Linked DNA regions of Callithrix jacchus. The protein of the gene in region 6 interacts with the protein of the main gene of each other region in a biochemical or structural test. Links are inferred from orthologs where the notes say so. Each region holds a gene or a part of one and is shown on either strand. Other genes may lie near its edges. The genes, in order: CFTR, SLC26A3, KCNJ1, PODXL, PTH1R, NHERF2 and PDGFRB.

The links.
Region 1: the proteins of NHERF2 (region 6) and CFTR form a complex in vitro, tested with the Homo sapiens proteins (4 studies listed by BioGRID and IntAct, with this or other methods). The link is inferred for Callithrix jacchus from reciprocal best matches to the Homo sapiens genes NHERF2 and CFTR.
Region 2: the proteins of NHERF2 (region 6) and SLC26A3 form a complex in vitro, tested with the Homo sapiens proteins (2 studies listed by BioGRID and IntAct, with this or other methods). The link is inferred for Callithrix jacchus from reciprocal best matches to the Homo sapiens genes NHERF2 and SLC26A3.
Region 3: the proteins of NHERF2 (region 6) and KCNJ1 form a complex in vitro, tested with the Homo sapiens proteins (2 studies listed by BioGRID and IntAct, with this or other methods). The link is inferred for Callithrix jacchus from reciprocal best matches to the Homo sapiens genes NHERF2 and KCNJ1.
Region 4: the proteins of NHERF2 (region 6) and PODXL form a complex in vitro, tested with the Homo sapiens proteins (3 studies listed by BioGRID and IntAct, with this or other methods). The link is inferred for Callithrix jacchus from reciprocal best matches to the Homo sapiens genes NHERF2 and PODXL.
Region 5: the proteins of NHERF2 (region 6) and PTH1R interact in a test that uses a peptide from one of them, tested with the Homo sapiens proteins (2 studies listed by BioGRID and IntAct, with this or other methods). The link is inferred for Callithrix jacchus from reciprocal best matches to the Homo sapiens genes NHERF2 and PTH1R.
Region 7: the proteins of NHERF2 (region 6) and PDGFRB form a complex in vitro, tested with the Homo sapiens proteins (2 studies listed by BioGRID and IntAct, with this or other methods). The link is inferred for Callithrix jacchus from reciprocal best matches to the Homo sapiens genes NHERF2 and PDGFRB.

What each region holds. Positions count from the first base shown.
Region 1 is NC_133512.1:88,177,877-88,181,376, reverse strand, and holds part of CFTR (cystic fibrosis transmembrane conductance regulator), read right to left. Parts: intron 2,605-3,500; coding exon 2,518-2,604; intron 1,017-2,517; coding exon 293-1,016; intron 1-292. UniProt on the Homo sapiens protein: Epithelial ion channel that plays an important role in the regulation of epithelial ion and water transport and fluid homeostasis. Mediates the transport of chloride ions across the cell membrane.
Region 2 is NC_133512.1:78,234,584-78,238,083, reverse strand, and holds part of SLC26A3 (chloride anion exchanger), read left to right. Parts: intron 1-168; coding exon 169-238; intron 239-331; coding exon 332-424; intron 425-2,290; coding exon 2,291-2,386; intron 2,387-3,008; coding exon 3,009-3,239; intron 3,240-3,500. UniProt on the Homo sapiens protein: Mediates chloride-bicarbonate exchange with a chloride bicarbonate stoichiometry of 2:1 in the intestinal epithelia. Plays a role in the chloride and bicarbonate homeostasis during sperm epididymal maturation and capacitation.
Region 3 is NC_133511.1:28,537,697-28,541,834, forward strand, and holds KCNJ1 (ATP-sensitive inward rectifier potassium channel 1), read right to left. Parts: upstream 2,738-4,138; 5' UTR 2,715-2,737; coding exon 1,596-2,714; 3' UTR 501-1,595; downstream 1-500. UniProt on the Homo sapiens protein: Inward rectifier potassium channels are characterized by a greater tendency to allow potassium to flow into the cell rather than out of it.
Region 4 is NC_133512.1:115,698,188-115,701,687, reverse strand, and holds part of PODXL (podocalyxin), read right to left. Parts: intron 1,094-3,500; coding exon 479-1,093; intron 1-478. UniProt on the Homo sapiens protein: Involved in the regulation of both adhesion and cell morphology and cancer progression. Functions as an anti-adhesive molecule that maintains an open filtration pathway between neighboring foot processes in the podocyte by charge repulsion.
Region 5 is NC_133516.1:29,559,163-29,562,662, reverse strand, and holds part of PTH1R (parathyroid hormone/parathyroid hormone-related peptide receptor), read right to left. Parts: intron 1,896-3,500; coding exon 1,793-1,895; intron 1-1,792.
Region 6 is NC_133513.1:4,726,674-4,730,798, reverse strand, and holds the start of NHERF2 (Na(+)/H(+) exchange regulatory cofactor NHE-RF2), read left to right. Parts: upstream 1-1,325; 5' UTR 1,326-1,443; coding exon 1,444-1,656; intron 1,657-4,125.
Region 7 is NC_133503.1:48,826,062-48,828,821, forward strand, and holds the end of PDGFRB (platelet-derived growth factor receptor beta), read right to left. Parts: intron 2,600-2,760; coding exon 2,410-2,599; 3' UTR 501-2,409; downstream 1-500. UniProt on the Homo sapiens protein: Tyrosine-protein kinase that acts as a cell-surface receptor for homodimeric PDGFB and PDGFD and for heterodimers formed by PDGFA and PDGFB, and plays an essential role in the regulation of embryonic development, cell proliferation, survival, differentiation, chemotaxis and migration.

The DNA.
Region 1 (3,500 bases), on a different chromosome or scaffold from region 6:
TAAAGCAGGTGCTTTCTAACTTATAGTCACGATTATCACTGGCTTTGTAAAGGACTCCAAACTAAATCCTTTCCCATTTCATGGGAAGAGATATGTCCATTGCAAAAAGAAATTATTTGTTATTTTACATTTTAAAGTTGCTTGCATAATTAATAAACTTCATACTTTCTGAGTTTTAAGACAAACCTTATCCTAATCTCATAATTTGAGTAAATTTTGTTACATGCTACATATTGCATTCTACTCAACTGCACTCTGGGGGGTGAAGTACCCGCAAGCAATTTATACTGACCTTTAAGTCTTCTTCATTAATTTCTTCACTTATTTCCAAGCCAGTTTCTTGAGATAACCTTCTTGAATATATATCCAGCTCAGTCAGGTTTGCCTGAGGGGCCAGTGACACTTTTCGTGTGGATGCTGTTGTCTTTCGGTGAATGCTCTGACCTTGGTTAACTGAGTGTGTCATCATGTTCAGAACAGACTGTCTCCTTCGTACCTGAAGTGCGGGGCCAGTGTTGATCACGCTGATGCGAGGTAGTATTGCTTCTCCCTGCTCAGAATCTGGAACTAAGGAGAGCCTTCTCTCTAAAGGCTCATCAGAATCCTCTTCGATGCCATTCATTTGTAAGGGAGTCTTTTGTACAATGGAAAATTTTCGTATAGAGTTAATGGAATTGAGAATAGAATTCTTTCTTTTCTCCCCAAACTCTCCAGTCTGTTTAAAAGATTGTTTTTTTGTTTCTGTCCAGGAGACAGGAGCATCTCCTTCTAAAGAGAAACGGCGTAAGGTCTCAGTGAGGATTGAATTTCTTCTTTCTGAACTAAATTGGTCAAAAGAATCATATCCCATGAGTTTTGAGCTAAAGTCTGGCCGTAGATTTTGGAGTTCTGAAAATGTCCCATAAAAATAGCTGCTACCTTCATGTAAAATTAGTATTTTGTCAGCTTTCTTTAAATGTTCCATTTTGGAAGTGACCAGAATCCTAGTTTTGTTAGCCATCAGTTTACAGACACAGCTTTAAGAATATAAAAAGATATAAATATCAATTTTATAAATACTTTATTACAATAATGTCTTGCATTTTAGCATTTTATTGTTTTATTGCATATAATCTGTATTATACAATTTTATTATATTTTAAATGATTCTATAAGTACCCTGTAGTAATTAAATTAGTACCTTGTGAATTCTGATAGCATGAAATATCATGCTGTATTAAAGAAAAGTTGCATGTTAACAGACTGAGAATGAAATAAAATTTCCTATATTAAGCAGATATTTGGCTGTGAGCAAATCATTTATCCTCTGGGTCTCAGTTTATTTATCTAGAAAATGAGGAAAGTATTAGATGATCTTCAAGGTCCCTAGAGAGCTGTACTTCCATGTCTTTTAAATGTCAGAGTCTTATTGTTCTTTAAATTTTCTATTAATTTCTTTCTTTTTTTTACATTTTAGGTTGACCACCAATTTATTTCTCAAGTGCTTACATTAAAACTAATCTGTTTCACTAAAAATAAAACAGCAACAATAACTGAGAATTTGATAATTAATTTGACTCTCTTCTAATAAAATTTTCATTTATTCTAGAAGTAAATCCAGACTAGAATGATCTAAGAAATATCAGTTTTTTAGGCATTAAAATATTATATATCATATAGAAAGATACATCATTCTAGATTATTCCGTAACACACTAACACAACAATACAAATGCAGCAAGGTTTATATTAATATAGAAGTTACTTATCACAGTCACAGGGTTGTAAAAATAGTATCTTGGATATCAAATTTAACTAAATTTTAAGAAAAGTACTTCTAGGCATAATCCAGCCATTTTATACACATATCCATATTTATAGCTTAAAGTCTTTATTTCTAGAAGAGCATAATAACTGTTCTCCTAATAGACTACCTTACAGTCCATGGAATCATTTTAAAATTTTGAAGTCAGGTCATATAACTAACTGTCTGTCTAGGGAATATCATGTATATTGGACCCTAACGGTAGTTCCAAGGAAATATAAGTTCTGAGCTCTGTGTGACTGAGAAGGAGGTCCCCGAAGAAGTACTGAGGTAGATGAGTAGTCTAAGCATTCACCTACATTAAACCAGTAGCAAAACTAGCAAAAACATTTGGCATAGGCATTTTCTTAAGAAGTGTACTACTTAAGGAGAAGACAGAATAAAATACTAACACAAAAAAGTAAATGAAAATGTTAAGCATAATAATCAATTAAAGTAATATATGTCACAAGACAATAATACTGCAAAAACTACACAGATGGCAATTGCTATAACAGTATAGCAATGGGAAAAATTGGTTTAGCATGAAATGGACAGAAAAGGGTTTAATGGAAGTGATCTTGAATCTTGGCCAGGTAGGGAAGATCAGGCTTGAGTTAATACCAACAAGGGTGAACATATTTCTTAAGAGGTAAAATGTAGTGTATGATGGTACAGTCTTTCTTTCTTGTATTTTAGCATGAGCATTGTAAGTAAGTTATTCAAAAAACATACCTTTCAAATATTTCTTTTTCTGTTAAAACATCTAGGTATCCAAAAGGAGAGTCTAATAAATACAAATCAGCATCTTTGTATACAGCTCTAAAAGGAAAATGGAAATTAAATTACATTTCCTCACTATTTCCTGTATCTTTTAGTGTAGATGATTTTCCTTAAACAGTTCACTACATGCATTACAATATGGTCACCACATCCATTCACTGAAATAACACTATTCTCAAAACTGGTGCAGAAGTAGCACTTTTATACATGTCTTTTTACTAGGGTAGATTAATTTAAATGAGAAATAAAGGAATAAGTTGAAAAGATTTTTATCACTTTTCACAACATTCCAAGAACTGCTGACATGCTTTTGTTAGATGTAAGTGGAATAAACTAGCAAAAGTTACAAACTGAATTGTACCATAGCATACACTTTAAAATATGACCTTAAAAAAGAAAACCTTTTATCAATAGTATCTATTTAGAGGCCAGTACCATGCTATGTGCTCAAAATACAATGGCAAAAAATGATACAGTTCCTGCCTTCAAAGATCTTACATTTAGGTGAGGATACCAAGAAGAAAGTAGACTATTTCAAACTGTAAAATGTCAGAGATAGCTAATAAATTGCAGCATTTGTGTGAAATTATTTTTAAAATGTTTTTCTAAGTGTTAACTGCTATCAACAAATTGAAAGCAGTGCTGCCACAACTGTATAATCAATATCGCAATTTGTTCCTGTGGTTTCAGTCTCTGTATCATATTCGTAAAAGTTCCAAGTAAGTGTGAGTACTTCACAACAAAAGGTATACCCATAATATTTTACTATTTATATTTTACTATTATAATAGTAAAATATATGAAACTATAAGCTAGTAAAATATGAAACTATAAGCAAGTAAAATCTACATTTCATTGATCTTAGAACCATAATAAAGATGAAGACACAGTTTCCATATTAATAGAAATGGGATAATTTCTTCATAACACTTAAA
Region 2 (3,500 bases), on a different chromosome or scaffold from region 6:
AAAGATAAGTAAAACAGAGTGTTCCCTTCCAGTGTCTCTGATGGCATGATGATTTCCCCAACCTTTTACATTCTGAAAAGTGAGCCAGTTTTGGTATGCTGGAAAAAATCAGTGTTAGCTTTATAGGCCTAACAAATGTGCATGATTTACTTGTTTTTCTCCCTACAGTCCAAAATGCAGCACACTGGCTAATATTGGAAGAAGCAACATCTATAAGAATAAAAAAGATTATTTGGATGTAAGGGAGATTCATTTTTTTTCTTTGACTTGCTAAATGATATTAAGTATGGATCTAATGGGCACCATCTAATAATACTTCTCTGCCTTATAGATGTATGAGCCAGAAGGAGTGAAAATTTTCAGATGTCCATCTCCTATCTACTTTGCAAACATTGGTTTCTTTAAGCAGAAACTTCTCGATGCTGTAAGGTTTGGGGTTATTTAATTTTTTTTCTTGTAATCTTACTGAATATCTAGGAATGTGTTTGTTCTGTAAGGTCATTGTTGAGGCTGGGTTGTGTCACATATGTTGAGGTGGGGTTGCACCAGTGTTTTTTGTCCCATGTCCCAGAGCAGGTGAAACTACCTTATGGGAGTTTGTTAATATGTTGAGAAATAAGCCTATTCAGATGACATCTAATATAGAAAAATACTTTTCTCAAACTCTGCTGTAGAGTAAAAAAAAATCCATGTTTTGGGTTGCTGGCTTTTAACAGGTGTCATCCTACAGATTTTCTTTGGGCATCAACTTTAGAAACAATGAGGGACCATTTAATATTTGATCACATCATCAAAGAAATTCAGTATAGCAGCTGTAAATGAATGGTTAATACTAAATAACAATAAATACTGAGTGTCCCTGGCAAACTGGAGAGATGATGACAAGGAAGCAAGCAGTCTTGACAGTTAAGACAAAAAGCTCAGTCCTCACTCTTGAAACATGCCTTTTGGTTTACTCTGTAGCTTGCATAGAGCTTCTGCCTTAAACCTTAATTATTATTATTAGTTTGATATGCATCGGATATTTTTCTACCCAGTTTTGTTGTTGTTGTTTGAAAAATGAGATTATATTGTTTATTTGGTTTTCTATACTGCCCCTTTTGATTACTCTAGTAAACTTCCATGTAACTTTATTTTTTGTCAAGGATCTTTTTTTTTTTTTGAGACAGAGTCTCACTCCATCACCAGGCACCAGGCTGGACTGCAGTGGCACGACCTTGGCTCACTGAAACCTCTGCCTCCCAGGTTCAAGCAATTCTCCTGCCTCAGCCTCCCCAGTACCTGGGACTACAGGCGCACACCACCACACCCAGCTAATTTTTTTGTATTTTTAGTAGAGACGGGGTTTCACCATGTTGGCCAGATGGTCTCGATCTCTTGACCTCATGATCCTCCCGCCTCGGCCTCCAAAAGTGCTGGGGTTACCAGCATGAGCCACCACAAGATTTTTTTGTTTTTTTGAGACAAGGTCTCGCTCTGTCACCTGGGCTGGCATGATCACAGTTCACTGCAACCTCAAACTCCTGGGTTCCAGTGATGTCCCCTGCCTCAGTCCCCCAAGTAGACGGAACTACAGGCATGTGCTATGACACCACACTAAATTTTTAAATTTTTGTAAAGACAAGGTCCTGCTTTGTTGCCCAGGCTGGCCTTGAACTCCTGGCCTCACGCAGTCCTCCCACCTTGGCCTCCCAAAGTGCAAGGATTAGAGGTGTTAGCCACCACATCTGGCCAAGGATTTTTTATTACATAATTTGATCCTCCTCTCTTATTTACCTGGACCTAAATATTATAGCAGTAAGAACTCATTAGGTTGAAAAGGGGAAATAAAGATTAACTTCAAACATAATACTAAATTATAAAATAATAACATACAATTACATAAATTTTAATAAAATAAAAATTACATGGAAGCAGAATACTTACATAGGTGTCACCCATACTCAATAAATAGAAAATAAATAAAATAAAATCCCCTAAGAGTTGTGTAGGTTCCAAACACAAACAGATTCAAATAGAGTTTATGTCTACTCATGGATAATTTATGAATGAATCCTGGACTGTGTCATACAAAAGCTTTTGACTGTTGGTAACTGGATATAGGTGGAGCAGACCATGGGTCTGACACAAAGTTGTTGCTGATGTTGTTTAAACCACTTTTAAATTTTGTCGCAAATATTTTTATTATCTGTCCCAATCCCTCAAATCACTCCAGTAAAAGTTGTTAGAATTATGCTATATAAATAATAGAATATTCAGTACTCTTGTAACACAGCAATGGGTTTCTCAGGTTGGCTTTAATCCACTTCGAATTCTACGCAAGCGCAACAAAGCTTTGAGGAAAATCCGAAAACTGCAGAAGCAAGGCCTGCTACAAGTGACACCAGTAAGTTTCTTGACCACATTTCTCTGCATTGTAGCTAAAAGCTCAGTAAAGGATGATTCAAGGTGTTAGTTCCATTCCTTTAAATGAATTGCCAAACAAGGGATTTCATGTGTCAATGAATGTTCTATTTTAAAATGACATGTTTCTGAGGGTCTCCCTAAAATTTCGACTCTCCTGGGAAAAGTACCAAACACAAGTGTCTACAATCTTGTTGTTTTGAGACATTGTCTCGCTCTGTGGCCTAGGCTGGAGTGCAGTGGTGTGATCACAGCTCATTGCAGCCTTGACCTCCCAGACTCAACGGACCCTCCCACCTCAGCCTCCCAAATAGCTGAAACTGCAATCACATATGCCACCGCACCTGGCTAATTTTTTTTATTTTTTACAAAGACAGGGTCTTGCCATGTTGCCCTGGCTGATCTCAAACTCCTGGACTCAAGTGATCCTCCCACCTCAGTTTCCTAAAGTGTTGGGATTACAGGCATGAACCACCAAACCCAGTCCAATCCCGTTGTTTGGCTCAACTCTGAATCAGTGCTTCTGAAACTCACTGGCTATCTCTGACATACACAATGTTTTTCTTCTTGGTCACAGTTATCATGCTTGTTATCCTCTCCTGCAGAAAGGATTTATATGCACTGTTGATGCCATAAAAGATTCTGACGAAGAGCTGGACAACAATCAGATAGAAGTACTGAACCAGCCGATCAGTACCACAGACCTGCCCTTCCAGATTGACTGGAATGATCTTCCTCTCAACATTGAGGTCCCCAGAATCAGCCTCCACAGCCTCATTCTCGACTTTTCAGCAGTGTCCTTTCTTGATGTTTCTTCAATGAGGGGCCTTAAATCGGTAATTTTGTTGTTCTTAATGGAAACAACCAATCAATGGCTAAAGGTTAAAAAACTGTTTTTGTGGGTCGGGGGCAGTGGCTCACACCTGTAATCCCAGCACTTTGGAAAGCCAAGGTGGGTGGATCACCTGAGGTCAGGAGTTCAAGACCAGCCTGGCCAACATGGTGAAACCCCCATCTCTACTAAAAATACAAACATCAGCTGGGCATGGTTTTACACACCTGTAATCCCAGCTACTTGGGAGGCTGAGGAAGGAGAA
Region 3 (4,138 bases), on a different chromosome or scaffold from region 6:
AGAGGCTACATCATGAGAGCAGACCAGCAGAGAATTCCAGCTCCCTCAAGCTTGTGATACCTGATTTCTTTCTGCCGTGCCAGCACATTAAATTGTGGTGCCAAAGCACTCACAGGCACAGAGTGAGAATTCCACATGGGCCAGCTGTGCCCACGGTTATGGCCATTGACAAGGTATGCAACCTTAAACCCATCAGAATCCCCACTGTTCTTAGGACCAGAGTGGTACACGGATCCATACAAACACAACCCAGGCATGGAACTGGCAGCTACCGGTTTATGTGCCAAGACTCACACTGGGGAGGCGTGATGGAGCTCTACTGGCAGAGGTGTGTCTGTGGGCAGGGTCATTTCCTCCTGAGGCCTAGAGACAACAAATGCATCCTATGTGCTTCCTCTCCACTCCTCCCACCTCTTCCAGGAGAGGATCCTCTCCGCAAAAGGACATTCACCAGGGGCCTAACTCAGTTAACGCACAGTAATAATATTAATAAAAGTGCATGCACAGTTTCGGAAATTTAATATATGAATCAACACGCTGAAAACATTTTGCTTCCTAAGTAGCTTTGAGTACCATTTTTTTCCAGGACACATTCAAAATGATGCAGGTGGGGACCTGAAGAAGACTTTCACAGTAAAACCTTATCCTCAAGGTCGATCCTTCCATAAGCTGGTCCCTTTTAGGAAGATGGGCTCTCAGGGAAAGAAAAGCCTAGTAACGTTCTGACTGTGGGGCTCCATCCCATTCCTCTCTCTTTCCCACTTCTTTAGAAATAGCATTCCAGCACAAACTCTAGGTGGAGAAACTCATGAAACTTTCTTCTCAGGTGCATTAATGATACATTCCCTTCTCTACTGACTTTGCACCTTTGAACTCCTCATTGCTAACTTAGAAGAGCAGGAAACACTCTCTTTAAATAGATGTATAGTCCCTGAAGCCATCCAATACAGATTGAAAGAAATATCATCGTCACTTTTAACTAAAGCATTCTGTCTTGCAGGAAGGTATCATCAAGGTTCTAGCGAGTAGATTTAGCCTCTGTCTAAATGTAACACATGAGAAGATTCAAGCCTCAAATTGTTCTTTGTGTAAGAATTTTCTTATTGTCATTTATTGGTTGGTTCGTCTCCCCAACTTAGGAGACAATTTTTCCATCAGTAAAATTCCACATTAAAATGAAAGTGGAGTCTTTCTTAACAGCAGAATCAAAATGAGATTATTATTATTCCCAGATCCTTTCTAAAGTTCATAACTTCTTTAAGAAAACTTTAAAAAAAATTTTTGTTTGTCCTTTCCATGAAACTTCTGATAATTTTGTCTGCTCCCATCAACTCTACATGAACTCAAATAATCATATTGAAGATTTCAAGTGAGCGCCCATGGCTTCCATATGCCAGTTTCCTATAAATGCATGGTACGTTCTAATACAGTAGCCTTGTAGAGATGCATGTCTTGTGGGATCACAACTGCAGGGCTCAGGGGTCCTTGTGCTGGTAGACTTTGAAGGCTCTCATCCTACTTTTGTACCCCTAAGTTGTTGACTGTTTCACTAGAAACTTTGGAGACTTGGCTTTACTCCTGTTGAAAAGCCATTGTTACATTTTGGTGTCATCTGTTTCATTGACTTCTGACAAGATGAAGCTGGGGTTGTCATAGCCTCTCTTCATCCTGGCTCTAGCATCTTTCTCATTATAAAGGCACATGGCACAGTGAGGGGTTTCCACTTCCACCGTCTTGCTAAAGTTATGGAAATCCACTCGGTATTTCCCTTCTTTTGTCTTGGATACTATGGGAGCAAAACGGTAGCCCCAAAGCACCTCCTCTGGGACATAGGATGTCCGGACTTGGCAGGTAGCACTGGTTGACTCCACGGTGCCATCTAAAAACACCACTAATTCAAAGTCCTGCTGGAGAAGGGTCTCTGCTGCCATGTGGAAGAAGGGGCTATGGTGATCAATGACGTGGTAAATTGTCAATGGGGAGATGAAGAATAAATTTTCATTCCCGGCATCAACTACAAAGTTGATATTAGTCTGGTCCAAAATAATGGTTTCTCCTTCAGGAGTGACTGTGGTCTTCAGAAGCTTTCCATATATGTGACTGCCGATAAGAAGACTCTTCCTCAGATTAGCCACTCGGATTAGGAGACAAAGCTTCCCTCCCCGTTTGCTGATCACCGCGTTCTTGCTAAACATAATGGTCTTGGCACGTTTTTTGGGCCTGGAAATCTTGGCTAAGATGGCGCCACACATGAAAGAATTGATCATAACTCCAAGTATAGACTGAAAGATCAGCAGAAAAATGGCAGTGGCACACTGTTCTGTCACACACCTGAATCCATATCCAATGGTCACTTGAGTCTCCAGAGAAAACAGAAAAGCTGAGGTCAAGCCATTAATGTTCTCCACACAGGGAGTGTGATTGGCAGAAGGATGGAACTCTGGGAGGTCTTTGTGAATGTATGCTACTGCGTACCACAGGAGACCAAAGAAAAACCAACTCCCCAGAAAGGCTGTGATGAAAATGGTCATTTTGTATCTCCATTTGAGGTCAAGTATCGTTGTCCAGATGTCCACAAAGAATATAAGCCTCGACTGTGCCTCCACATTGCCAAATTCTATGTTGCACCTTCCGTCTTTGGAGACTAGTCTTGCTCTTTGCCGAGAATGCCCGAAAAAGCGAGTGATGACCCACTTCCGAAGATGTTTGAACATACTTTCCGTCAACACCCTGATCTGAAAACACATCAAAGGAAAACAAAAAAGGATTATGTTTGTAGCAATAGTGAGCTGGGTGACTCACATAAAAGATCTAACTATGAAAAGATCATTCAAAATTATCTGGGTTACTAATCATTTGTCAAGCCGACAGGTTTGTTCTGGATACCACAATGCTATTTCTAATAGAAACTTCCCACTGGAAGACCATGTCACTCAAATATAAAGAAGCAAAATAAGTATAGAGAGTTAGAAATAGAAGAAAACTAAGAGATCATATGTTTAAGTGTTTCCTGACCTCAACTGGTCTCACGTAACCTTAAGAATGTTCACGATAACCAATTATGGCCTGCAGTTTTATTTATTGAATATTATTACTTAAATCAACTTCTCGTAAGTTTAGCCTTCTGCTAAGCAATGATTTCTGAAAAATCACAAACTTGAAGCACTGAATGTATTTTCTGAAATACAGGAAAATAAATAACTGATCAAGAAAACACTCATCAATATACTACCTAATGCACTTCTGTTGTACTTCTGTTGATACTCATATATCAAGAAAAATTCTAATTCAATTCAGTTCTCTCAATTTATCAAATGAGAAAACTGAGATTCAGAAAATTTAAATGACTTGTCAAAATTCATGTACCTAGTCAGCGGCAAGATGACAACTAGAATATAGGGCTCCCTACCTCCAGTCTAAGGGAGCTTCTACCACTCCATGTCTCCGTTATCAAATGTCATATTATAAAGTTACATTTTCCTAAAATATTTTAGACAAGTATTGGTCATAGTTCTTTTTTTTAATGTTCAACACTATTTAGAAGAGAGCTCAGATCCAACTAGACGGTCTCCTAGGTCTTCTCCATAAATGTACAAGCCTGTTCCTACCCTCTTTCCATGGTTTCCCAAGATTCCCAAAAGGAATATTATGAGGGCCACCATCAACGTCTCACACTTCCTTTCTACTCCAAAGCTGGACGACTGGGGAGCACTGGTTTAAATAATACTCCATACAGACAGACCATACTTTATTCATTCCTGTATCCAAGTTGCTAGGACACTCTATGAGTGTCTACTGTTTAACCAGTAAACGTAAATAAAACAATTCAGTGAATGAATTACATTTTTCAAAATCCTGTTTGCTCAATTGGTTTTTTATAGATGACAGTACTGTGACTTCCATTTTACAGCAAAATCGTGAAGGGACTGTCCCATGAACAGCCAACAATGGCAAAACCCAAGGTCAAAAACGCTGGATTACCTCCTCCTCGATGCCCAAACATGTCAAGGTGTGCCACCATGGTCAGCAGTGTCTTCAGGGTATTTTTCATTAAATGCAAATGTGTTTTTAAAATAGATTTCAAAATCCCCCTTGAAAAATATGTTTATTCGTAAGAACTAGGAAGCGAAACCAACTT
Region 4 (3,500 bases), on a different chromosome or scaffold from region 6:
CAAGCTGGCCAGGCTGATCCTGAACTCCTGACCTCAGGTGATTTGCCTCAGCCTCCCAAAGTGCTGTGATTACACAGTGTTTTACCCTTCACATAGATCTCCATTTTCCAGTTGAGCAACTATATGAATTATAAGTGCTGAAAAGTATAATTTTTTGAGACAGAGTCTTGCTCTGTCACCCAAGATAGTGTGATCTCAGCTCACTGCAAACTCTATCTCCTGGGTTCAAGCAGTTCTCCTGCCTCAGCCTCCTGAGTAGCTGGGATTACAGGTGCCTGCCACCACACCTGGCTAATTTTGTATTTGTAGTAGAGACGGGGTTTTGCCATGTTGGTCAGGCTGGCCAGACCAGTATCGAACTCCTGACCTCAGGTGATCCACCTGCCTCAGCCTCCCAAAGTGTTGCAACTAGTGGTGTGAGCCACCACACCCGGCCCTAGAGTTTCTTTGTGCTTAAAGAAAACCAGGCATTACTTACGTAGGGTGGCGGTCATCCCAGGGCTTGTGAAGGTGTGGTCAGTGCCAGCCGCAGTGCTTGAACCACTTGAAGCTGTCATAAGATGGTCCTGTCCCGAGCTTGTTGGGGTGGCCACAAGATGCATCTGAGTGGGTTGGGGGGTGCTAACTGGATCTGTAGGCTGAGGGGTCGTCCGATGTTCTGCCTTAATGGTTGTGAGGTCTATGGTCACATTGTGGCTACTTTGGTCCCCAGATGTGGCTGGATCTTTCGCTCCATCCTGGCTGGTGGTGGCGTCAGGTTGAGCTGTGGTCGTGAAGGGTGCAACTGTAGTGCCAGCTGTATCTTTCATGCCCTTGGGATCATCGCTGGTGGCAGGAGGGCTGCCTGAGTCTGCTTTTCCAGGCACGGTACTGGTCACTTTGTCTTGCTGAACTGGGGCTGCAGTTCCTGAGTCACTGGCCACATTAGTGATGTTCGCCTTGACCGGGGCCTTGGGGGTGAGGACTGTGCTCTGCTGGACTGCAGCTCTGGCCTCTGTGGTGACAGCAGCTGTTGGAGCCTGGTCCTGCCTGCTGGAGGCTTCTGCTGCCATTGGGGCTGTTCCGTTGAGTGAGTCATTAGCATGTGAATCTGCTGTTTGCAAAGACAATACAGAATGGAGTTAGGGCTGGGAGGCTCTCTCACCATGCTTCTCCAGCTCTTCCCCAGGATTCAGAGGCCTTGCTGAAGGCCTGGGTCCTCGGTGACTCCAGATTTTTTTCTTTTCTTTTCTTTTCTTTTTGAGATGGAGTCTTGCTATGTCACAAGGCTGGACTGTAGTGGCATGATCTCGGCTCACTGCAACCTCCACCTCCTGGGTTCAAGCGATTCCCCTGCCTCAGCCTCCCAAGTAGCTGGGATTACAGGCATGCGCCACCACACCCAGCTAATTTTTGTTGTTTTTTTTTTTTTTGAGACGGAATTTCGCTCTTGTTACCCAGGCTGGAGTGCAATGGCGTGATCTCGGCTCACTGCAACCTCCACCTCCTGGGTTCAGGCAATTCTCCTGCCTCAGCCACCTGAGTAGCTGGGATTACAGGCATGCACGACCATGCCCAGCTAATTTTTGTATTTTTAGTAGAGACGGGGTTTCACCATATTGACCAGGATGGTCTCGATCTCTTGACCTCGTGATCCACCCGCCTCGGCCTCCCAAAGTGCTGGGATTACAGGTGTGAGCCACTGTGCCCGGCCGACTCCAGATTTTTCTGAGGTTCAAGAAACCTCTAAGAGGGGAGTTTAGAGTGCAGCAGGGTCAGAAAAGCAAAATGCTGCCAAAGGAGAGGGCCAGGCCAGTGAGGCCCCCACACGTGGAGGCTGTCGTACGCTCCCTGTCTGCCCTCCCTGTCTAGCCCCACACACATCTCCCTCAAGTTTCTCAATGTGCTACCCCTGAACCGGCTGCCAGGAACATCTCTGTCTCCTCCTCTCCAGCTCCCAGGCACGTGGCCCCACCAAAGATTCCACAGACTAATGCTCCCTGAAGTGCCCTGGCCCTGTGCTGAGCTTAAGCAAAAAACACATGGTCCCTGTTCTCATGGAAGTTAAATCCAGAAGATGAAACGGATGATAAACTGAAGTTACACAGAGCTGTGCCCCGACTGTGCAGCGCGGCGGCTTCGCCGTGCCAGGGGCAAAGGGAAGGAAGGCTTTGTTTAACGAAATAATTCTTGAGGAAACAGGTTCTGTGTCAGGCAGTGGAGACACAACAGTGAACGTGACACAGACTCTCATACCCTCAAAAAGGCTACGCTCAGTGGGGGAGACAGAGACTAAACAGGGTGGTTAAATCTGCTTACCAGATGGAGGAGGCAAGGAAGGAAGTGGCGCAGAGACCCACGGCGAGGGGAGCGAAAGCATCTCTGCAATGATTGTTAAACTAAGCCCGGAGGATAACAAGGAGAACAATGTATGGAGAATGGGAGGAAAAGTGTTCATGGCAGAAGGAACAGAATCTGCAAAGCCCCAAGTAGAGAAAGGAGCTGAAAGAGGACAAGCAGGAATGGAGTTTGGTGAGAAGGGGTCAGGCACAGGGCTGAGAAAATGCAGGGTCTTATAATTACACTGACAGCAACTAAGCGTCCAAACCAGACATTTTTGAGAGTAAAAGGCTCTCTTAAAAATCACATCCAACAGGGCGCAGTGGCTCACGCCTGTAATCCCAGCGCTTTGGGAGGCCAAGGTGGGTGGATCACCAGAGGTCAGGAATTCGAAGCCAGTCTGGCCAACACAGTGAAACCCCGTCTCTACTAAAAATACAAAATTACCCGGGCATGGTGGTGCGTGCCTGTAATCCCAGCTACTTGCAAGGGAGGCTGAGGCAGGAGCACTGCTTGAAACTGGGAGGTGGAGAATGTACCACTCTGTACTCTAGCCTGGGCGACAGGTGAGACTCTGTCTCAAAAAAACAAAAAACAAACAAACAAAAAAAACAACCACATCCTATTGGGCCAGGTACAGTGGCCTATGACTATAATCCCAGCAGTTTGAGACCAGCTTGGCCAATATGGAGAAACCCCGTCTGTACTAAAAATACAAAAATTAAAATTAGCCAAGCAAGGTCGCGGAGGCCTATAATCCCAGCTACTTGGGAGGCTGAGGCAGGGGAGTCACTTGAACCTAGGAGGCAGAGGTTGCAGTGAGTCGAGAATACACCACACTGCACTCTAGCCTGGGCGACAGGTGAGACTCCGTCTCAAAAAAATAAAAATCATAAAATCACATCCTACATAGAATGAGACATAAGATCACCTTCCTCAGAGGCCAACATGCAGATTCTGGATTTTATTCTAGCTGCAAAAAAGCAGCCAGGGAAGGCATTAAAGCAAGGAAGTGGTATAGGATGACTTACAAAGAAACATGTTTCCGCCGCTTTGGGGAAAGCGGACTGGAAAGAGGAACGTGTGGAAAAGGGAAGAGAAGTCTGGAGGCAATTCCAGTAATCCAGTGGCATGAACGGGGCTGGCCACAGGATGCTACTGACACTGGGGACAAAAGGTGG
Region 5 (3,500 bases), on a different chromosome or scaffold from region 6:
GTAAGACAGCAGAGGTGGACTGTCCCACCCAGGACTCAGGAGTGGGGGCCAAGGCCACGCAGCAGTGAAGGCCCCACCAGGGGGCGCATGGTGAAAGCAGACAGGGGTGGAGGTGTCAATGGGCAGATCACACAGCGAAAACGAAGTCTGGCCTGAGTGCTGTGCAGGTAAAGAAGCTGGTGGAGAAGACAAGAGCAAGGTGGTACAGTCAAGAGTGGACAGAGGCCAGGCGCGGTGGCTCACGCCTGTAATCCTAGCACTTTGGGAGGTTGAGGCGGGCGGATCACCTGAGGTCAGAAGTTCGAGACCAGCCTGACCAATATGGTGAAACCCCGTCTTTAAAAAAAAAAAATCAAAAATTTCAAAAAAGAAAAAAAAAAAGAGTGGACAGAGAAGTCCACCCATCCCCTTCCCTGGACCTTGAATATGTGGTTCACAGCTTCCACAGCGGCCCTGCCTGGAGTGCAGTGATGTGATCATGAATCACTGCAGCCTCAAACTGCTGTGCTCAAGCGATCCTCCCACCTCAGCCTCACCTGTAGCTGGGACTACAGGTGTGCACCACCACACCTGGCTAATTTTTAAATATTTTTGTAGAGACAGGGTCTCACTATGTTGCCCGGGCTGGGGAGGTCTTTCTTCCTAGTCACAAAGTCTTCCTCATTTCTGACTTGCATTGCTTCAGCCACAGCCCAAGCTAGGGCCCCCTGGCCCTCCCATGTCGGGTCTGTGGCAATGATGGGAAGCTGAGTCCAGGCAGCCTGGACTGGGACGAGAATGACTGTGCTTATTTTCCTGCCTCCACCCTCAGCCATCAGTGTGGGGATGTGGGCAGCAAGATGGGGTAAAGTAGGAAGAGAGAGGCTCCATGGTGTATGGGGAGGGCACCCTTCAGGCTTCCACAACTAAGAAGAGGGGCTGGGTTCAGGACCCAAGCGAGGGGGTCCACCTGACCCCCCAGATCTCAATGCAACTGGGAGCCACTGTTGGGGCCAGCATGGGTGGGGCTGTAACTGCAGAGACCATGTGAGTCTGTGAGTGTGAGCAAAACCCATGTATGTGCCACAGAGTGTGTGTGTCATTGTGTGCTTGTGTTCTGGGCGTGCACCAGACTTGACCCCTGCAGAGCCCTAAGGGCTTGTCAGGGGAGGAAGCTGCCCTCTCCATCAGTCAGTTGGAGTCTGAGCCTTTTGGGTTGATGAGATTAACCTGACAGCCGTCAGTTTGAGCGCTAGTGGTAGACAACACAGGGACCTGAGCTTAAGATTTAGGACAAGCCAGGCTGGGCAAGGTGGCTCACACCTGTAATCCCAGCACTTTGGGAGGCCAAGGTGGGGGGATCACGAGGTCAGGAGTTTGAGACCTGCCTGGCCAACATAGTGAAACCTTGTCTCTATTAAAAATACAAAAAGAAAAAGAAGTTAGCTGGGCATGGTGATGGGCGCCTGTAATCAAAGCTACTCAGGAGGCTGAGGCAGGAGAATCGCTTGAACCTGGGAGGTGGAGGTTGCAGTGAGCCGAGATCGCACCATTGCACTCCAGCTGGGGGGACACTGTGAGACTACATCTCAAAAAGAAAAAGAAAAGACTTAGGACAAGCCAAGGACGCCCAAGCCTGCTGACTCCACTCCTGCACCACCCACCCCACTATGGTCCTCACTTTGGCCTGGTTCCCATTACCTGAGTCCACTCCCACAGAGAGCCTTCACCTGGCTCTGCATCCTGGGTCCCACCCTCAACTGGCCCCTCCCTCACCTGGTCTCATCCCCAGACCCCCACCTTTGACCCCCACCTGGCCTCTGCAGGACTTCCTTGAGCCGTTTCTCACACTGGGCCTGAGCACGGTGCAGCAGGAAGATCTGTTCCTCTTTAGTCATGACGTCATCTGCATCCACCTGCCAAGCCGAAGGTCAGACCACAGGCAGCACTTTCCAGCGCAGCAGGTCCCAGAGCCATCCCAATTTCCCAGAGTGATTACCCTCTTTCAAAAGGCCCTGACTCTAGAGGGAAGGTGGGATTTCCCCACATGTGGGAAATCTGCTCTATGGAGCTCCTACCTCACAGATGGGAAACTGTGGCTCTGAGGGGTGGGGCCTGCCTGATCCAAGGGAAGAAGGAGGGAGCTGTCTCCTGCCTGCCTGCCAGTAACCCTGTAGGCTGCAGTCACTGATACTTTCTGCCCAGTCCTTTCCCTAGGGGTTCATGGGACTGGAATGGAATGTCCCAGGATGGATCCACACAGGATCCTGGCTGCCTGCTGGGGACATGAGTCGGGGGCAGGGGTTGGATAAGGAGTCCTGAGCTCTGGGGAGACAAACCCAGCCTGGATTCCTTCAAGTTCTGGCACCCTGGGGGGGCCTTAGGAGTCACCAATTTCCATCTTGGCTCAGGTCCCCAGTCAGTGCTTTCCCCAGTGAACGGTGAGTGCCTCCCCTCCTTACAATCCCGAGAGGGAGAGGGTGGAGGAACTGCTGGCTGTGGCTGGCTGTGGTGGGTGGGAGTCCCTCTCCACTGCTGATCTGAGAATTCCCTCCATTCAAGCGGACTCTGAGTTCTGATGACACTCAGGCCCTCACTCCTGCTGTTCTCTGCCTGGAATGTCCTTTCCCTTCCTTCCAACCTGCACACCATGGGCCCTGGCTGCCACCCACCGGGACTCACTGGCCTCATTATAGGAAAGGACATGAAACATCATGGGGGTGGAGGCTCACTCAGAGCAGGTGGCTGCTGAGGGGTGTAAGCCTCTGACTTGGGAGGCAAGGAGCCAGGGTGAAGACAGCAGGGGAACAGCTTGGTGTGCCTGGCCCAGCTACTCCCATAAGTGTGACCTGCAGGGGTTAAGGCGGCCTCTGAAACCTCCCCAGGGCGGGGTTGTGAAGCCCTCAGCCCCAACCCCCTTAATTCAGGGCCATGTTTCCTCAGACCCCTGGGCCTGTATCCTGAGATGATCCCCTCCACCGGTCCCCCAAAAGGCTATGTCTCCTCAGCCCCCCGGGGCAGAGCCGCATCCTTCAGACCTGCCGTGGCGGGGCTGGGGCTCTGCAGTCCAAGCGTAGCTGTGCAAGGCGGGAGGACTCGGAGGGGGCAGGGAAGGAAGGAGGCGGCCAGGGACGGGGTGGGCGGGCCGGGTCAGGGAGCCTGGCTGCAGGGAGAAGTTAATTGACCGCGTCTCTTGGCGGCAGCAGCGAGGGCTTCCAGGGCCAAGGAGTCTCCAATTGGCTCTGCCAGCCTCGGGTTCTGCTGGTTCCACTTAGCGGAGCCGCATGCTCATCCCTGCGCATGCGCGAGTGTGGCCGGCGCATGCACTCGTGTGTGTCCATCTGTGCGCGTTCTCACGCGGGGACTGTCCGGCATGTCACCGTGGGACGCCAGATGGACGTGTTTGTGAGCGTGCACGTGCACAGGTATTTTTGGGCATAGGGCAGCGTGTGTGCGTCTGTGAGTGGGGCGGCAGCTCCTTAGCGTTTGCATCTGTGGGTGGCCAGTGGTTCTGTTGCCTC
Region 6 (4,125 bases):
GAGGCTGCCCAGAGGCGGGTCCTGTGCTTGGGCGGGGGCAGGGGAGCCTAGGCTGAGGGCACTGGAGAGAGGAGAGGGAGAGGAGGACTGCACCAAGCCTGCTTCTCCTGCCCACATGGGGAATTGCCTGGGCTGGCTGTGCCTAACTCCTGGGAACCAGGTATGTGTAGGGGGCCTGGCTGGACTGGGGAGGAGGGCAAGCTGGGGCTGTGCCTGGACTCAGCTGCCTTCCCACATTGGAGACTGAGGAAGAGCTGGGTGGGGAAGAGCATGGACTCTGAATCTCACATCCCTGGGCCCAAATGGAGCTGAGGAAACTTTGTGGGTCTCTTCCCTCTTCAGACCTCAGTTTCCAGATCTGTAAAGTGGCCAGACCCCTAGGGTTGTTCCAGGTAAATGCACTCAGCCATAAATGATTTTGTTGTGATGGTGATTGTTCTGTTGGGGAAGGGGGACACTCCTGCTTCAGGTGGAGGCTGTGGGCCAGGGGAGGGGAGGCCTACAGGGGTCTGCCTGTGGACAGTGGCCACCACTCAGAACTCAGAGCTCAGACACTTCAGTGCAGTGTATCCCATGTCAGGAGCGGGTAGCAGAGACCTTTGAGACTCCTTCCCCTACCCTCATCCGAGCCTGTGACTGTAAAGTCACAGTCCAGGCCTGGGGTGGGCTGGGACACAAGTGAGGGGGGCCCAGCCAAGGGAAATAATGGGGGGAGGGCTCAGGAATGGACTTGGTGCAGATAGCCGAAACACGGTGGGTAGATCAGGGAGTCTCCCAGTCACCGGCCCCCAGGGTGCAGAAAGGGGCTGCTGCGTGTCACTTTTAAACCCCTCTTTTTGCCTCCTGGGCCCTCCTGAGCCGCTGCCCTGTCCCAGGGCAGCTCTGGCTGCAGGAGGGATCCGGATCAGGCACAGCCTAGAGGAGACAGGCAAGGGGGTCGGGGAGGGCTACCTGGGGAGGGTGGAGGGCCGTGGCCCTCGTTCTTACCCTTTGGCCCCTTTGTGGGGGGAGTCCTTTGGCCTGGAGACCCTTTTTCCAACCCGTCACCCACCTCAAGACCTGCCTCGGTGCTGCGCATACAGTAGGTTTCCAGTAAATGTTCCTGGAATAGAAGGCAGAGGCGCTGGCACCCGGGCGGCCGTCCAGAGTAGGGGCGAGACAGAGGGGTCCCCTGGCCCTGCCGCCTCCCCCCGCACCCCCTTGGACTGTCAGGGCGCAGAGGCAGGGGCCTGTCCGGGATGGCTGGGACGGGGGCGGGGGCGGCCGGACGGCGGGGGCGGGGGCGGGGAAGGGGCGGGCGCGGGGGCGGTGCCGCAGCCCGAGCCGGAGCCCGAGCCGGAGCCCGAGGCGACGGGAGCCGAGCGGGAGCTGCCGAAGCCGCCGCCGCAGCCCCCGAGCTCCCCTGCACCCCTGCCTGCGGGCGGCCGGTGGGCAGCGGGCGCCATGGCCGCGCCGGAGCCGCTGCGGCCGCGTCTGTGCCGCCTGGTGCGCGGCGAGCAGGGCTACGGCTTCCACCTGCACGGCGAGAAGGGCCGCCGCGGGCAGTTCATCCGGCGCGTGGAGCCCGGTTCCCCCGCCGAGGCCGCCGCGCTGCGCGCTGGGGACCGCCTGGTCGAGGTCAACGGCGTCAACGTGGAGAGCGAGACGCACCACCAGGTGGGGGCCCGAGCTTGCCCCGGTCCGCCCACGCCTCCACGAGCACTTCTCCCTGGGGTGGGCGGGGGTCGCACGGGGCCCGAGGGGGGTCCCGCGGGGAGGACGCGGACGTTGCGGGGAGGCAGTGGCCCGGCGCCTTCCCAGTCCCGGCGCAGGAAGCTCAGCCTTGCACGGGGTGGGGGTGTATCCTGGCAGGGAGGGGCCCGCACTGCGGCTCCTGGCCGTTGGCTTCGCCGTTTGGTTGCCTTTTGGCCTCAGTGTGCCATGAAGGAGGGTGTCAGGCAGCCTGGGGCCCCTCAAGGAAGGTGGAGACCTGGGTGCTTTTGCCTGGGTGTGTGTGTACACGTGTGTGTGTGAACACAGCTGGGTGTGTGTGTGCAGGTCCCTCTGGGGTCAGCCATGTGTGCACGCGCCTGCCTGTGTGTACCCAGGAGGGGACTGCTAAGGGCATCAGTGTGTCTGCACCTGTGTGTGTGCCGGAGTGTGCGTGTATCCAGGTCTGCACACGTGTGTGTGTGTGTGTACAGGTTTAGACTCCTGGTCGTGTGAGCGCTGGACTCTGTGTGTGAACATGAGTGTGTCTGTGAGCCTGTGTGTCTGCATGCCTGGCCTGTATGCTTGTCACTGTGTGTCTGCAGGCTGGTGAGTCTGTGTGTCCATACTCTTGTGTGTCCCAGCCAGGTGTGTCTGGGACAGGTGGGAGTTGGCCATTGGTGGCAATCACATTCCTTAGCTCCAAAGGCACTGCCCCTCCTAAGAGGCTGCTTAGCTTGGCTCGGGACATTGGCTGAAGCCTCCTGCCTCCTGGCCAATGCGAACAGAGCCTTTTCTCTGTGGGTTCTGACCCCTGAGTCTGTCTGTCTCCCACAGGCCAGGGACTCACTCCAGACCCTGGTTGGAGTCCAGTGTCCACACACCCTTTGTTCTCCACGTCCCCTGTCCCTCACAGCACCAGCAAATCCTGTCTACATGGCTGGTCCTGGATCCTAGAGATTAGTAGGTTGGGGCCGGGCGAGGTGGTTCACACCTGTAATCCCAGCACTTTGGGAGCTCAAGGCGGGCAGATCATGATTTCAGGAGATGGAGACCATCCTGGCTAACAGGGCGAAACTCTGACTCTCCTACAAATACAAAAACGTAGCCGGACGTGGTGGTGCACGCCTATAGTCCCAGCTACTTGGGAGGCTGAGGCAGGAGAATCGCTTGAACCAAGGAGGCAGAGATTGCAGTGAGCTGAGATGACTCGGGAACAGAATGAGACTCCTCAAATAAAAAAAGAGATAGCAGGTTGGCTCATGGCTAGGCCTGGAGCTGGTCTCCTGTTCACCCAGTACCTGTCCATTCCTCTGCAGCTTGCCCCTGCCTCCCATCCAGAGTGTCTGTTGTGTAAGGTTGTTTGCTGAAGAAGGTGGGGATCAGGCTGGGGGCCTGGGCCTGAGGGACCGAAGGTGTGGCTGGCAGGGTGAGGGGACAGTCACTGCCACCTTTTCCCTGGGAACATCTGCTTATCCAAGGCCCCTGGGGTGCTGGTCTCAAGGACTGGACACACAGGTCATGGCGGAGCCTCCCCTCTGCCCCAGGAGGGCAAGAGGGGCAGTTACAGCCTCATGGGACAGGAGAAGAAAGTGATGCTGGTGATTTGGGGTGACTGGTCTGGGACACATAGTCAAGAAACAGCTGGGCCCTGGGTTCCTTTTGCCTCACTCTTCATGGGGAGAGAGGAGGACCAGTGGGAAGATGGGCCTGTCTCGGCCCCTCGTATCTGTTCACCACCCCTGCTGAGCCCGGCAGCTGGTAGGGAGCCCTGTCTACCCTCCCACAGGCAGCAGGTGGAAGTGGGGCTGCCCCTCCTCCTCCCCACGGCCCAGTGGGCACTGCTTTCTCTCTGAGGGTGCATGCTGGCCCCCTGTGTGGTCCAGATACTTCACAGGCACCTGCACGCACACGCCGACAGCCATGCCACAGCTGTCCACAGGTGCACCTGCCCCTCCCCCTCGACGGCTGCAGCTCAGTCCTGCCTGCTTCCCGGGCTATGTGTGGGTCCTTGAGCCAGGAGCCCAGCTCTTCCATCTCCGCAGGTCCCACGGGAATGGGCTCATGGTCATGGTCTGCAGGCAGATGCAAGGCTTGGGGTCAGGGGTTTAGACTCCCGCACTGTGTGGCAGAGAGTGACAGGAATGGGCATAGATACACCCAAACTGGGGCCCAGGAAGACCCTCGTCTTCCTCGAACGCGGAGGGAAATACAATCTTTGAAACGGATGCACGCATACGCATGCACGAGAAGACGGAAAAGCTGAAGCTCAGCTGGGCACCATCTTTGTCACTTCCGGACAGGACTCCCCAGCTGCCGTACCCTGCAGCCCCTTCCTGACCCCTCTGGAGAAGACCCAGGGCTAAGAGCAAGGCCCTGGGAGGACCCTGAAGCCCTGGCAGCCTGGGCTTTAGTGTCCAGAGCCCAGAGGCAGAG
Region 7 (2,760 bases), on a different chromosome or scaffold from region 6:
GCTCTTGGGCACTCTATCTGCTGCGCTCCTACCTGGGGCCTGGAATCTGAGTGATGACTCACGTGGACTTGGAATCTGAGCTCTGGCAGCTGCCTGTCACAGGTTGCACTGGCCTCAATCTGGGCCTGTGGGTGCACTGGAGGGGACAGTGTCCCAGCTGATAGCCAAAGCCAAAGCACAGGGTGGGGGCAGTGAGGCTCAGCACCAGAGCCTCCAAACAGCCCTGCAGCCCCACACCCTCCTGCCCAACTCAGGCCAGGCTCCGTGGAGCCAGAAAAGCCTGCCTGTTTTTCACCTTGGGAAACCAAGTCCAAGGTCTAGGTGGCCCAGCTCCTAACAAGGGGTTGGAGAGTGAGTATCCCCACTTTACAGATGAATGTAATGAGACTCGGAGCTGAAGGGATCTGTCTGGGGTCCAGTCTGAGTGAGCTGCATGTGCCTACTCCAAACTCCCCATCCCCCAGGGACAGGAACCCAAACCTGAGCGATACCACAAAGTCTGTGAGTGAGAAGCACCAGGTTTAATATTAAAATCTTTCCCTTAAAAAACCATACACAGGTAGGAAAACTTAACAGCATACAAAATAGCACTTCTGCTGTATAAATGTGAGTTAACGTGAGTCCTAAAAATACTTGTAAACCTAGGTGATTATATCTTTGGTACCGTATTGAGAGCCCACTCTCCCTCCTTGGACCAACTTTGGGGATCCCAGGGAAGTAAGGTGCCAACTTGCAATGCAGGGCTGGTGCCCAGAAGGGCTGAGCTTCCTGCGCTCCTTTCCCAATCCTTCCTGTGCCAGGGAGTCTTGGCTACAGCCCTTACTGCCCTGGCACCTCCAATGCCCACTGGGCTGGGGACAGTGAGATGTCACTGCTAGGTCTGGGCAGTGACAAAACCATACCCCCATGAAGTACTGCCTCAGGGATGGGGCAGCTGGTGGGTGAGAAGGAAACCCCCAAAGTGTCCACCTCTCACATCCTTCTTGGGGTACCCGTCTGAAGCTTCTTGTCCTTTACAAGATATAACTATCTTTACCGTCCCTTCTGTCTTCGACACAGACCTTGGCGCAGGTGCTGGAGTGGTGGGCTGCAGGAGGTGATCTCATTTGCCCTCTTTGTCCCTTTTGCCCAGGATACCCCTGGAAGTCATTGTGGGTAGTGAAAGAGGTCCCACAGTCTTCCCATGTCCCTGGGGCAGCTGCTGGGGGCTTTTCAGGACACTGGCTGTCACTCTAAGTCAAGGTCTGGGCAGCTGCATTCTTGAGACTTGCTGGGGTCCTGGGGAAGGGGCACGGTTCCTGAGTCATCAGAGTGTGACGTGTGGTCTGAAATCTCCCAGGAGCCCAGCTGACCCTCAGGATTGAAGTTTAAGGTATATGGCCTTGCTTCATCTGGACAAATGTGTAACCACCTGGAATAGTCTAGAATGTTAGTGCTGGCAAGGCCGTTGGAGTTAAGTCTGACTTGTTCGTTTTTCAAAGGAGAAAACCGAGGCCCAGAGAGGGTGAGGAATTCCTCCAAGGCCTCATAGCAGGTCCAATGCAGAGCCAGGGACACATACTGGCCACTTCACACTGGCACATCAACATCCTCATCACAGATGCGGGGCCGATCAGTCCCTGCAGACTCTGGTAGATGGATTAAAACTGAGGGTGATAAAGAAAAAGCCCCAGGACTGATGGCCCTGAAGGACAGAGACGCGGGCACTTGCTATGGCCAGGTGCACTCCAAGTGCCCTGGGCAAGGGCGGCAGGCTGGGGGTGTCCCGTACTTGGCTCAGCCTCCAGCATTAATTAGACTGCCTAATGGCCCAGACCAGCTCAGGCCAGGGAAAGCAGAGACTGGCAGCATAGGGAGGAGACTAGCTTTGTTGTGGATGAGACAGCACTGCCCAAGTCTAGGCCCCAGCTTAGCCAGCAGCCAGCGATGCTAGGGTCCCTTCCCTAGCTCCTGGGTGGATAAAAGTGCAAGGAGAGAGCTATGATTCCTTTAGGGGTAGCTGGCTGGACAGAAAAAAGTTAATTTACCACCTCAATAACCCCAAGGAGGGAATCCCCAGGGTGGGATTCCACCTCCCCACCTATCAGCCAGAGAGAGAATCCTAGATTCTGTGTCACCTAGCCCAACTTTCCCATCTTACATATGGGGAAACTGAGTCCCCTGGGGGAAACCCTGGCTCAGAGTCACTTGGCCTTCCCGGAGGCAGAGGGCTGGTTGTGGCCCCTGCAGTTTTCTTGCCTCCTAAGCCAGCCCTAGGGTTTGGGGCACAACATGTCAGGAGCAGAAAGCTTCCAGAAGGGGACAGCTGATAAGGGCTGACAGGAGACCCAGCCAGGCCAGGCCAGGCCAGGTGGTGCTGGGTGCTGGCAGAGGGGGAGCTTCGGGCAGGGCAGGGTGGGGGCCAGCCCCCTACAGAAAGCTATCCTCAGCTTCTGGCCTAGGTGCGGGGCACCCTGAATCCGGCGGCTGCTCCAGCTCGGGCTCTGGGTCCGGCTCCACCTGGAGCTCAAGCTGGGGCTCTGGCTCTGGTTCCTCCTGGGGCTCCAGGGGGCTGTCACAGGAGATGGTGGAGGAGGTGTTGACTTCATTCAGGGTGGAGCTAGAGGAAGGAGGCAGTGCGTGAGGGCTAGGAAGGAGCCCACGAGGATGATAGCAGCAGCCATGAAGGGCCTTTGGAGCATCTGCCCCTGCGCCGTGGACTTTACACACTCCGGCTCATTTAACCCTTGTGAAAACTATGCAAGGCCTGCACTGCATGGA